Coturnix japonica: one gene and its partners. The main gene of each other region encodes a partner of the protein of the gene in region 3 in a complex. Links are inferred from orthologs where the notes say so. Each region holds a gene or a part of one and is shown on either strand. Other genes may lie near its edges.

Region 1 (4,264 bases), about 1.8 Mb from region 3:
TACTGCCTGCCACTGTTTACCACCTGCCCTCAGCATGCTCACTGAGATAAAGCACGGGTGGGAAATGATAGAGGACAGACAGCACAGTGTCTGAGCTCTTGTCCCATGTATTAGCCAAGCAGGAGGGGACATGCGTGTGGCTGAGGCCTGAGCACTGCAGCTGTTGCAAGTAATGCCCGCAAAACCTTCAGAGACTTTGGGTGGTGTTTTTTTTTCTTAGAAAAATGCAAAACCAGATGTTTTCTAGCTCCTTTCAGCTCAAAGGGCAGTAGAATAGGTCTTAGTCTCTTTCCTAAGCTTTTGCAAAGGATGGTGCTAGGTTTCAAGAAGATACCCACCATATGGCGGGCTGTCTCTAGACTTAGTTCAGCATCAGCCATGAAGGATGTAGGATGCAGGTGCCCTGGCTGTTGACCAGCAGGGACTGGTCCAGCTGGATTCTGGGTTTCTGCAGACTCCCGTGTGGCAGCAGCAGCTCCTGTGCTCCTACCGAAGGCCATGACAAACACCGGAGAAGTCTGTGGAGGTCTTATATGCTGCTTCACTCAGCTGCTGTGACCTGTTGTCATCAGTGCCCTTTAGGATTGCTTGCATGTCCCCTGTCCTATCATTTAGTGTTCTCTGCGTGCAGCTCTCCTTGTGGGAGCTGTGCCATGCCATACATGCGTTAATGGTGGTGCCTCATTCCCACTGTCAGCTACTGCAGAGAGACATGGCTCGGAAAGCAGCCGATGCTGGGGGTGCATGGGACACTCCTGCCATGGCTCTGGGTCTCCGTGCTGGCCGCCTGCACGTCAGCATGCACGTGTACAGCCGGCAGGGCTCCCAGCTTGTGCTTTTCCAGCCGCCGTGTCCATGTCTGTCCTCAAGCATCATTAAAACAAGCAAATCTCCATGGCTGCGGTGTTTCTTTGGGACAGTGGGGTGACAGATCCACTGATGGAGGAACCAGTGCGGTGCAAGGAGCGCATCAAGCCCCATGGCAGTGGTTTGGTACAAGAGCAAGATAAAGGCAAACCAACAGGGCTACGTGCCAAATACCTGGGGGGATTTTGGGGTGTGATTTGTAGGCCTGATAATGGTGTTGGTGCAGGCAGGAGCTGCAAGCCTGCTCCGTAGAGATAAGCACCTCCTGCTTATCTGTGTGTGTGCCACCACCATGGGGCCGTGAGGGCGGGCAGGCTGCTGGCACACTGAGGGACTTGGGGATGCAGGCAGTGAAGGATGCGGCCCAGCGGGATGTGGGCACTGAGGGGATTGGTGCTGAGGGCTGCAGCACAGCCAGACGCGGTGCAGGGGGATGCTGTGCTGTGGGACACGAGCACTGCTGTCATGGCACAGGGCGCTGTTACATGGGGCGGGCACGGCACTCAGGAGCGATGGCTGCCATGGCCGTGGGCGGGAAGCACTCGGCAGCACGCGCTCCGCCTCGCGACCGTCCCGCCCCGCCCCGCAGTGTCCCGGCAGCCGGCGGGGCGGGGCGGAGCGGAGGAGGCGCACGGAGGCAGCATGGCGGCCGCCATGGAGCAGGGCATGGCCCACGAGCCGCACCGATTGAGACGGCGGCAGCGGCCCCGCAGCGGAGTACGGCGAGACCTGACCGCCGCGCACATCGAGTCCTTCAACTACGCCATCAGCGAGGGGGTGTACCGAGCGCTGCAGGTGCCGGGGGGGGCGAGCGGGCTGCGGGGATGGCGCTTGGTGGAGCTCGCCCTGACTTGTGGGCTGCCGTGTGTTGCAGGACATCCCGCCCTTGGAGCTGGCGCTGAAGGACGGCCGCGTGGCGCTCACCGTGGTGGGGGTCGCCATCTCGCCGCCCTTGGTGCCCAAGGGGACGCTGTGCCACGAGGTGAAGGTGTTCCCGGCCGAGTGCCGCGGGCTGCGCAGCACGTACCGCGGGAGGCTGACGGTGAGCGGGTTTCTTACCTCAGCTACGGCTTCGGGAAGCGTTCAGAGAGCTGTGTCCTGCGGTTATTATACCGGGAACAAAACGAGTCCAGCTCAGTCTGCTCACTGTTGGCTTTGTATCGTTTTAGGTTGACATCAGCTGGTCAGTGAATGGCATTCCACAAGGGACCATTAAACAGCCTGTGGGGTATATTCCAATCATGGTGAAGTCCAAATTGTGCAACCTTTATAATCTTTCTCCCCAAGAGCTCATCCAGCACCACGAGGAGGAGGAGGTAACGAGGATCTTGTGTATCAGGACAACATGCAGTATATTAGGCCAGTGTTAGGCTTGAGTGTTTTTATAACATAGTAGAAGCGTTTTCTTATTTTACTTGAAATTATACTTCAAGCGCATTAAAAGCCTTTTCTTTCTGACAGGAAATGGGGGGCTACTTCATAATTAACGGCTTAGAGAAGGTTATTAGAATGCTGATTATGCCCAGGCGCAACTTCCCTCTTGCACTGTCGAGACACAAGTGGAAAAACAGAGGTCCTGGCTTCACAGAGTACGGTAAGCTAAAGGCCTTGCTACCACATCCCTCCAGAAGCTGCTCATAAACAAACAGGGATGACCAACTAGAGCTGCTATTTTGTTGTTGCTGTTGCATGGTGTTCATGTTTTCAGGTAAATTGTACTACATAGGAAACCAAGTGGTTGGTAACACCATAGTGATGCATGAGGCAAGTGCTTGCCTTTCAGGTGGTTTCTGAGCTGCCTGTGCTGATCTACTGAATCATCTCACACCGGCTCGGACATCTCACATAAGTGCTGTCTGTATTTCTTGCTTAGCTCATGTTGGCTTTTGCTTCTGTTAATTCCTGCAGGAATAATGATGCACTGTGTTAAAGAAGAGCACAGCGCAATAAACATGAACCTTCACTACCTGGAAAATGGCTGCGTAATGTTGAACTTCATTTTTCAGAAAGAGCTGTTCTTCCTTCCCTTGGGATTTGCTCTAAAGGTAAACAAATAATACACATTACACTCTTTCTGTGTTAAATAAATGCAGAAGTTTCACTAAGCATTTCTATTTTCATGAGTAATGAGAGGCAGCTGATGCCATGTTAAGTATTTTCGGTCATATTTCCGATGTTGGTTGAAGAACTGTAGAGCAAACTGAGCCTGCATGTGTGATGCAGTGTGCAGGTGGAGCAGAGGAAGTGCATGCAGGCTTATGCCAAAGTATTATGGCTTCCTGCTAATGAATGTTGTGGATTAATAGTTCGTGGAGGATGTAAGGGCTTGTAACCTAACCAGAAAGATCCTAGGAGTATTTTTATAATTCATTGACCATTTAAGAAACTGTTAGGTCAGCCTCGACTATAACAGTGTTAATCATTAAAGTCAAGCTCTCATATAAAAGGAAACCAGTAAACTGGTTCTCTTCTTTTTTTAAAGGAGAAAAATAAAATGCTGTTTTTGTTTGGAACTGGAAACACTTAAGAATTGGAAGACAAAACCAGTAGTGCCAGTTTGAGCACATTGGGTGCAGTTAAGCTGCTCTTTAAGTAGCAGGGAAAGCTTGATGTTAGTCAAGCCTTTCCAAATTTCTCCATTAAAAACAGCAAAGCCTGGGTGCTTCAGCTGTGTGTTACACAGCAGCTAAGGGTTAGGGCAAATTGTGGCCTGTGGCACCACAGCTTGTCTGGTCTCAGGGAATTTACGTGTTCTTTCAGCCTCCTGTGTTCAGGACTTAAAATTAGTCAGCAGAGATAGGTAATTACCCTGTGTTTTAATAAGCAAGGGCATTATACTGACTTTAGCTTACAGGATGTCATAAGCTAAGCAGGCTGCACTGTCTAAAGTTTGAATTCTTCCATGAATATCATGCCATGGGTTTGCATGCCCCCTTCATCAGCCGTTTAATAAAGAAATCTGTCTACGTGTCTTTTTCATGCCGTTCCCATTTTTTTTTTTTTCTGTGAGCTTCTTGAAGGCTTTTTAAATGTAGTGGAGAGACAGTTTGCTTACAGATGGGGGAGGTTTGTCAGCCAGTTACTGGTGAGCAGAATGGTCACTTAAACCCTGACATAAACAACTAGGAAACATTATAACACCAAGTGCTCAGAACACAGGATTTAAGCATGAGATGTAGAAAATGAATTGCTGAAGCTGAAGTGGATTGTAATAGGCTAAGCTGTCTTTTGACTTCTGTGGAGATAAGGAGTTAACTTGAGACAAAAGAAGCCTTTTAAGATAGAGGATGCAAGTTTGTTTGTTTGTTTTTCCAAGGGTTTTGTTAGACTGGAACCACTTGTGATCATCACCTCATTCATATCCACTGTGCTGCTCTTGAAGTACATTAATCCCACA
Region 2 (2,261 bases), on a different chromosome or scaffold from region 3:
CTGCCCAAGGACAACCGTGAAGCAAGAGGGCACTAAGGACCGACAGCGCTCGGGGTGACGCTTTAACCCAGTCTGTCCCGAACAGCAACGTGCCGCCCTCAAGTTACAAGCATCGCATAGCGCAGCACTCCGCGCGACGCTCACACGGGAGGATCGCACGCGGCTTCACGACGCATCCCCCGCTGCAGCCCAACTTCCCCGGCTGGGGGCAGCCAGTAAAGCTGCAACGCGACGCTCGCGGTGCCACGGCCGCCTCCACCCTCCGGGGAGCGGGATAGCGCCTCAAGGACGGCTTATGCCCCGTTTGCTTTCGCTGCGCGCGGCTCGCCGACAGACCGAGGAACGCTACAGCGGGCAGCCCTGAACCCCCCCACATCACCCCCCACAGCCCCCAGACCCGGAGTTCAGCAACTCCCGACTGACCTGCCGCCGCCACGGGACCGCTAACCTCGCTTACCCCGCTGACCACGGCAGCGCTCCGCAGCCCGGCTTCCTCCAAATGAGCGGGCAACGCCGCGCAAATCGGCGCCGAGCGCAGCTCACGGAGCGCAGCCCCTGCCCGGCTCCTTCCCCTTCCAAAGGGGAGCGAGGACACGGAGCAAACCGCCCCAAATTGGGGACGCCAACACAGCCGCGAGACGGACCGCGCCTGGCGCTACCAGTGCGCGCACCGGGAAGGGAAAGAAAAGGGAGGAAAAGGGAGGGGAGTGCGACGTGCTGCCCCGTCCCACAGCGCTGCCGTGCCCCGCTGGTTGGCGCCGGGCTGCAGCCACCAGTTGCGCTTCCACCCCGCGCGGCTGCGGTACCTCGAGCAGGACGCGATGAAGAAGTGCCTTCTGCAGAAGTCCGGGTGTAAAGCAACAAGTGAGAGCGCGGAAGGAAGGAAGGAGGGAGGGAGGGAAGGGCACGGCGCCTCCTCGGCTCGGCTCAGCCCGCCCCGCCGGTGTCTCCGCTCTGCGCTCCGCCGGCCCCGGCTGCCACCACGCGCCGCGCACGCGAAACGCGATCAGCAGCCCGCCCCGCTCGCAAACACTATTGAGCCGCGCAAGGAGCCGTAGGGCGGCCGCTACCATCCGCCGTCCTGTGCGGGAACGGGGGAGCTCCAGCGCCGCTCTGCATCCTCACGGCTGAGCAAGAACGGCTCGCACCGCCCGTGTCCCCCCGGTGCAGTGGGAGCGGCCGTAGGGCTGCGCTCGGGCAGCTGCAGGAGGAAGCGGCGCTGTGCGAACCATGATCATCCCGGTGCGATGCTTCACGTGCGGCAAGATCGTGGGCAACAAGTGGGAGGCGTATCTCGGGCTCCTGCAGGCGGAGTACACCGAGGGGTGGGTGTCATATTAACAGCACACGCTAATACCTTGCTTTAAACTAAGCTCAGAGCAATCATTGCGTTGCTTAGGAGCACTTACGAGCGGTTCTGACTCGTTTTGTATTTATTTCTTTTAATCGTGTTGTTATTTGTTAATAGAGATGCCCTGGATGCCCTCGGATTGAAGCGCTACTGCTGCCGCAGGATGCTCCTGGCACACGTGGATCTGATTGAGAAGCTGTTGAATTACGCACCGCTGGAGAAATGAGAGTTGATTGACCCAGCCACCAGCTTCTCCCAAGGAAATAAATGAAGGCCGACATCCACTTCACAGCTACAGCTTACATATGTAGATGTTTCTCTTTAATTACATACAGGTTGTTATTGGTTTCTTTTTGTGAACTTTAGGATGCTTTTGCCCGTAAAAAATAAATGTGTTTTATGAAATACAATCATTTGTCTATGTAAAATGTTGAACTAGAGGAAGCCTCTGCCTGTGGCCTTCCTGGAGTTGCTGGGTAGAGTTCAGCATACACTTCCATCTCACTATTTCCTCACAGTGGTCATTTTGAGGTTAGAAATACAGTGTTTGAAGCTAGGGCAATCAAGGGGGGTTAGAAAGAGAGCAAAGTTCCAGGCTCCAGAAACAGCACAGAGGATGTTTGTTTGCTATGAATGAGGCATTACTCTTAGTAGGTTGCAGTGCTAGCGGAGCTCATTTTTTCACTGAAGTCAGCCTATAGTGTCTTGTTAAAAATTGGGGCAGACTGGCAGCTCCATCACAGAAAACAGTAAATCAGGTGGCGCAGTGCTCCTCACTTAGGTAAAATACATCTGAAGGCAATGGATGTGAGAATTAATGCATGTAACTGTGAACAGGATCAGAGTCTTGCCAAACACCTGCACTGCTCTGTTGCTGGTATGAGTGCAAGCTTCCCACTTGTCAGTCATT
Region 3 (3,316 bases):
CTCTAGACCCATGGACACTTCCTTGGCATTCTCTCTTGGAAGAGGCAGAAAGCAGTGGGGGGAGCCCTCAGTAATAGGGAAAGCAGCGGTATGTGGGAAGGCAGTTTGGAGAATGTTTTCCCTGTTGCTTACTAGTAAGTTCGTATTAATCCAACTGATTCATTTATCAGCCTAATTTCTTTCCAGAGAAACAAAAAAGACGTCGACTGGGGCTAGAAGTTATTTTTGCAGTCTTGGATTATGCTGGCTGGAAGGAAAGTGTAAAAGCATGGAGTTGTTTGGCGAGACAGGTGAAACAAATTGTAATGTGAGTGTAACTGATGTAAGGTGCTAAAAGAGGAATGTATGTGTCAAATCTCCTCCTGCGGGCAGTTGACAAAGTGACTCTTCTGTAGTCTTTGTCTTTCATGATGGCAAGTGGAAGAGTGGGCTGGCCTGTACTGAGATCTGTGGCTGTGCTTGGCTGCAGCATGCTTTCAGTGGCAGGAAAGAAGAAATTATTACTGAGAGAAATTCTTAAATTTCCAGTATTATCATTAGCTGAATTACCAGGTGAGGTGTTTATGCAGAAAATGCTGTTCAAATGTTTGGATAACATTTACTGCCTGTCACTGTTCTCCTTCCAGGAGGAAAAAAAACCCAACAACATTGTTTGGTCTTCTGCTATTAAACATATATTGGTTGCAGCAGATTTGAGGATGAGTGTGCTGCAAAAGGGATGTGGTGCGTTGTGCTGTTGTGTCGTGTTCTTCTTTGATAACTTTGGTGGTAACTTCTTCAGAATACAATGTGTTCTTAAAAGCCAAGTCAGAGTGCCTGGGGACTGATAAATACTTGCTTGTGTGTTGGGAGGAGGACTCTGTTTTCAGGAGCTCCATCTCCAGGCAATCCATGCTCAGAAGGTCTCTAATGTCTGGGGTTTTTTTTTCCCCAAAAGTAGAGGTTTTAATTTTTCTTTTAAGCCTTGTATACTTACAATGAATCAATTTAGTACCGCTTGACCCATTTTGCTGTTTTATTGCTGCCTCTACATACTCAGAAGGCCCGAAAGTTAATGGATTAAAACTGAGAGTGTTGTTGCATATAGTTAGGAAAAATGGTACAATACTTCAACTTTGCCTGTAGTTTTGCTTTTGAGAACACAACTTCAGAGTACCTTGAAATATACAGGGCATCTTAATCACTTTATAGGAATATCACTTCCCTGTTTTCAATTGTAAAATACTGTAAGGTCTCCACTGCCGAGTTAACTCCACTGAGTTAATGGAGTAAGGTAAGTATATGAAATACAGTAGTGTTTAATTATGCATAGATTTATCCAAAGTTTTTCTTTTAAAAAGAAAATTGCTGCTTAAATAGTTCAGCCTGCAGTGTAGTGTCAAAGTCTGCCAGCACACCAAGCTGATTATAAAACTCAGTGCCTCCTCTTTACTATTTCATCTCAGTTTTTCTTGTTTTACCTTTTTGCAGTTCTGAGAAGCATCTTAACTGGATTAAGAAGGAGTGGAACTCCAGAAAGGACTGGTGGCCAGCCTTCCATTTTAGCCGCTACTTAGCAAAGAGGAATTGGCAGGAAAATGAAATCCTTTCGTATGAAAAAGCTCTGGTGGCTGGAGTTCTACTAGGAAAGGGTAATACTAAATGTTCTTTCACACTGTGTACACTAGAAAAAACACCTAGTTCTAGCCCTAATGAGATAAGATGCAGCTGGTCTACTCCCTGGAAGAATGCTGTTTCTTTCTTCTAGGAAAGACTGTGGTCTTTGAAGTTCTATGGGAGAAAAACATTTAAAATGGTTTGATATTCCTCATTTAGAGACATACATTGCATAACTTGCCTTATCCCAGGTTTGAGTTCAATTTTATTTGGCCTTGTTGAGCAGTCACAATACTACAGACTCTGTTTATAACCTTGAAACCACAATTTCAAAAATATACAGCAGGCTCCTGAGGCTACAGAAAGTTTGCTCACTGAGCTACAGTCTAAGCAATGTCTTAGCAAATACTGAGGGTGAGGTGATCCTTAAGGACCTTGTGAGTGATGAAGCATAGAAAAGAGGAGGAAGGAGGTCTTGAGTGAAAATAGTCACTGTCCAATAAAAAAAAAAATGAAGATCAGGACTTCTATGGTGGTGTTCACTGAAACATTGATGAAATCAAGAAGTGGTGACGAAGTTCAGAATGAGAATATGGTGTGGAGAGCATAACTTATCTATTAAGTTTGGGCCTTTAGTTAATTAGAAGCTTTATTCTTTCAGTTCTGTACCTTACCTTCCAGACTCTGTAGAACAGTTTCTTGAGTTGAAAGCCTGTTTAGGTCTCAGTAATTTGATGCTGCAATTATGTTGATAATGTGTATGTCTTTGATTGTTTTATTACCTTATTTAATAGGTACTTGCATGCTTGTGTGTTACTTAAAAAGCAGAAGTGTTTTGTTTGCTTGTATGACAAAGCTGACATGGCTTTTTCTTCTCTTGCTTAGATTGCAAGTACTTTAAATACGTGTCACGCCAAGGCTGCAGAGCTCAGGTGAAAAAGTTTCGGACTCTCAAGAAATTTGTGAATAAGCACAGTAGTGCCTACCTGAGCATATCTGGTCTTTGAGATTCCTCTGTACAACTGTGATTAAAAGGTGTCTTGATGGTCTTGCTGCATTCTTTTTACCCTTTTGAAACTGGCTTTTTTTTTTATTGGCATTGGTCTAAAAGCTGCTCTAAAGAGATGAGCTGTCAACTCCAGTAGATATTTTTTATATATATTTCTGTTAAAAGCATTTGGTTTGTATTTATTTTGTAATAAAATAATTATGTAAATCAACAGATGATGCTGAAGAATTTCTTTGCTATCAGTTTTAGATTTCTCTGAAATACAAACAATCAGTAATTTCAGGCTTACCTTGAACTACTTGGTAATTATACTATAGAATCTGTGTTGGTGATACTGTGGAGTGAATCTTACGTTCAGTTGTATGGATGCTGATTTAAATGGCTGCTGGAACGTGGCTCAAAATCCACTCAGGGCTGGATGTGGCAATCCTAATTAGTAGGCTGTCTTAACCTATGAACAGTGTGTGATGCAGCATGAAAGCAACTTTCTCACTATACATGTTGCGTAACTTACTGTTTATGACTGATTTCCTAAAAATTTTTCTTCTTGGCCACCTGGGCACACTGTCAGCTCATGTTCAGCCCAGCATCAACCAACACCCCCAGGTCCCTTTCCTCTTCACAGTAATTCAGCCCCAAGCCTTTAGTGCTGCATGGGGTTATTGTGGCCAAAGTGCGGGACCTGGCACTTGGTCTTGTTGAGCCTCATCC

What was found.
Region 1: TAF1A (region 3) and POLR1B share a complex: the UniProt entries of both Homo sapiens proteins name them as parts of the pol I pre-initiation complex. The link is inferred for Coturnix japonica from reciprocal best matches to the Homo sapiens genes TAF1A and POLR1B.
Region 2: TAF1A (region 3) and POLR2L share a complex: the UniProt entries of both Homo sapiens proteins name them as parts of the pol I pre-initiation complex. The link is inferred for Coturnix japonica from reciprocal best matches to the Homo sapiens genes TAF1A and POLR2L.

Annotation. Positions count from the first base shown.
Region 1 is NC_029518.1:13,944,413-13,948,676, forward strand, and holds the start of POLR1B (DNA-directed RNA polymerase I subunit RPA2), read left to right. Parts: upstream 1-1,464; 5' UTR 1,465-1,509; coding exon 1,510-1,662; intron 1,663-1,741; coding exon 1,742-1,909; intron 1,910-2,036; coding exon 2,037-2,183; intron 2,184-2,328; coding exon 2,329-2,461; intron 2,462-2,775; coding exon 2,776-2,912; intron 2,913-4,264. UniProt on the Homo sapiens protein: Catalytic core component of RNA polymerase I (Pol I), a DNA-dependent RNA polymerase which synthesizes ribosomal RNA precursors using the four ribonucleoside triphosphates as substrates.
Region 2 is NC_029520.1:8,951,784-8,954,044, reverse strand, and holds POLR2L (DNA-directed RNA polymerases I, II, and III subunit RPABC5), read left to right. Parts: upstream 1-1,147; 5' UTR 1,148-1,230; coding exon 1,231-1,325; intron 1,326-1,468; coding exon 1,469-1,577; 3' UTR 1,578-1,761; downstream 1,762-2,261. UniProt on the Homo sapiens protein: DNA-dependent RNA polymerase catalyzes the transcription of DNA into RNA using the four ribonucleoside triphosphates as substrates.
Region 3 is NC_029518.1:15,725,709-15,729,024, forward strand, and holds the end of TAF1A (TATA box-binding protein-associated factor RNA polymerase I subunit A), read left to right. Parts: intron 1-186; coding exon 187-307; intron 308-1,470; coding exon 1,471-1,631; intron 1,632-2,481; coding exon 2,482-2,603; 3' UTR 2,604-2,816; downstream 2,817-3,316. UniProt on the Homo sapiens protein: Component of the transcription factor SL1/TIF-IB complex, which is involved in the assembly of the PIC (pre-initiation complex) during RNA polymerase I-dependent transcription.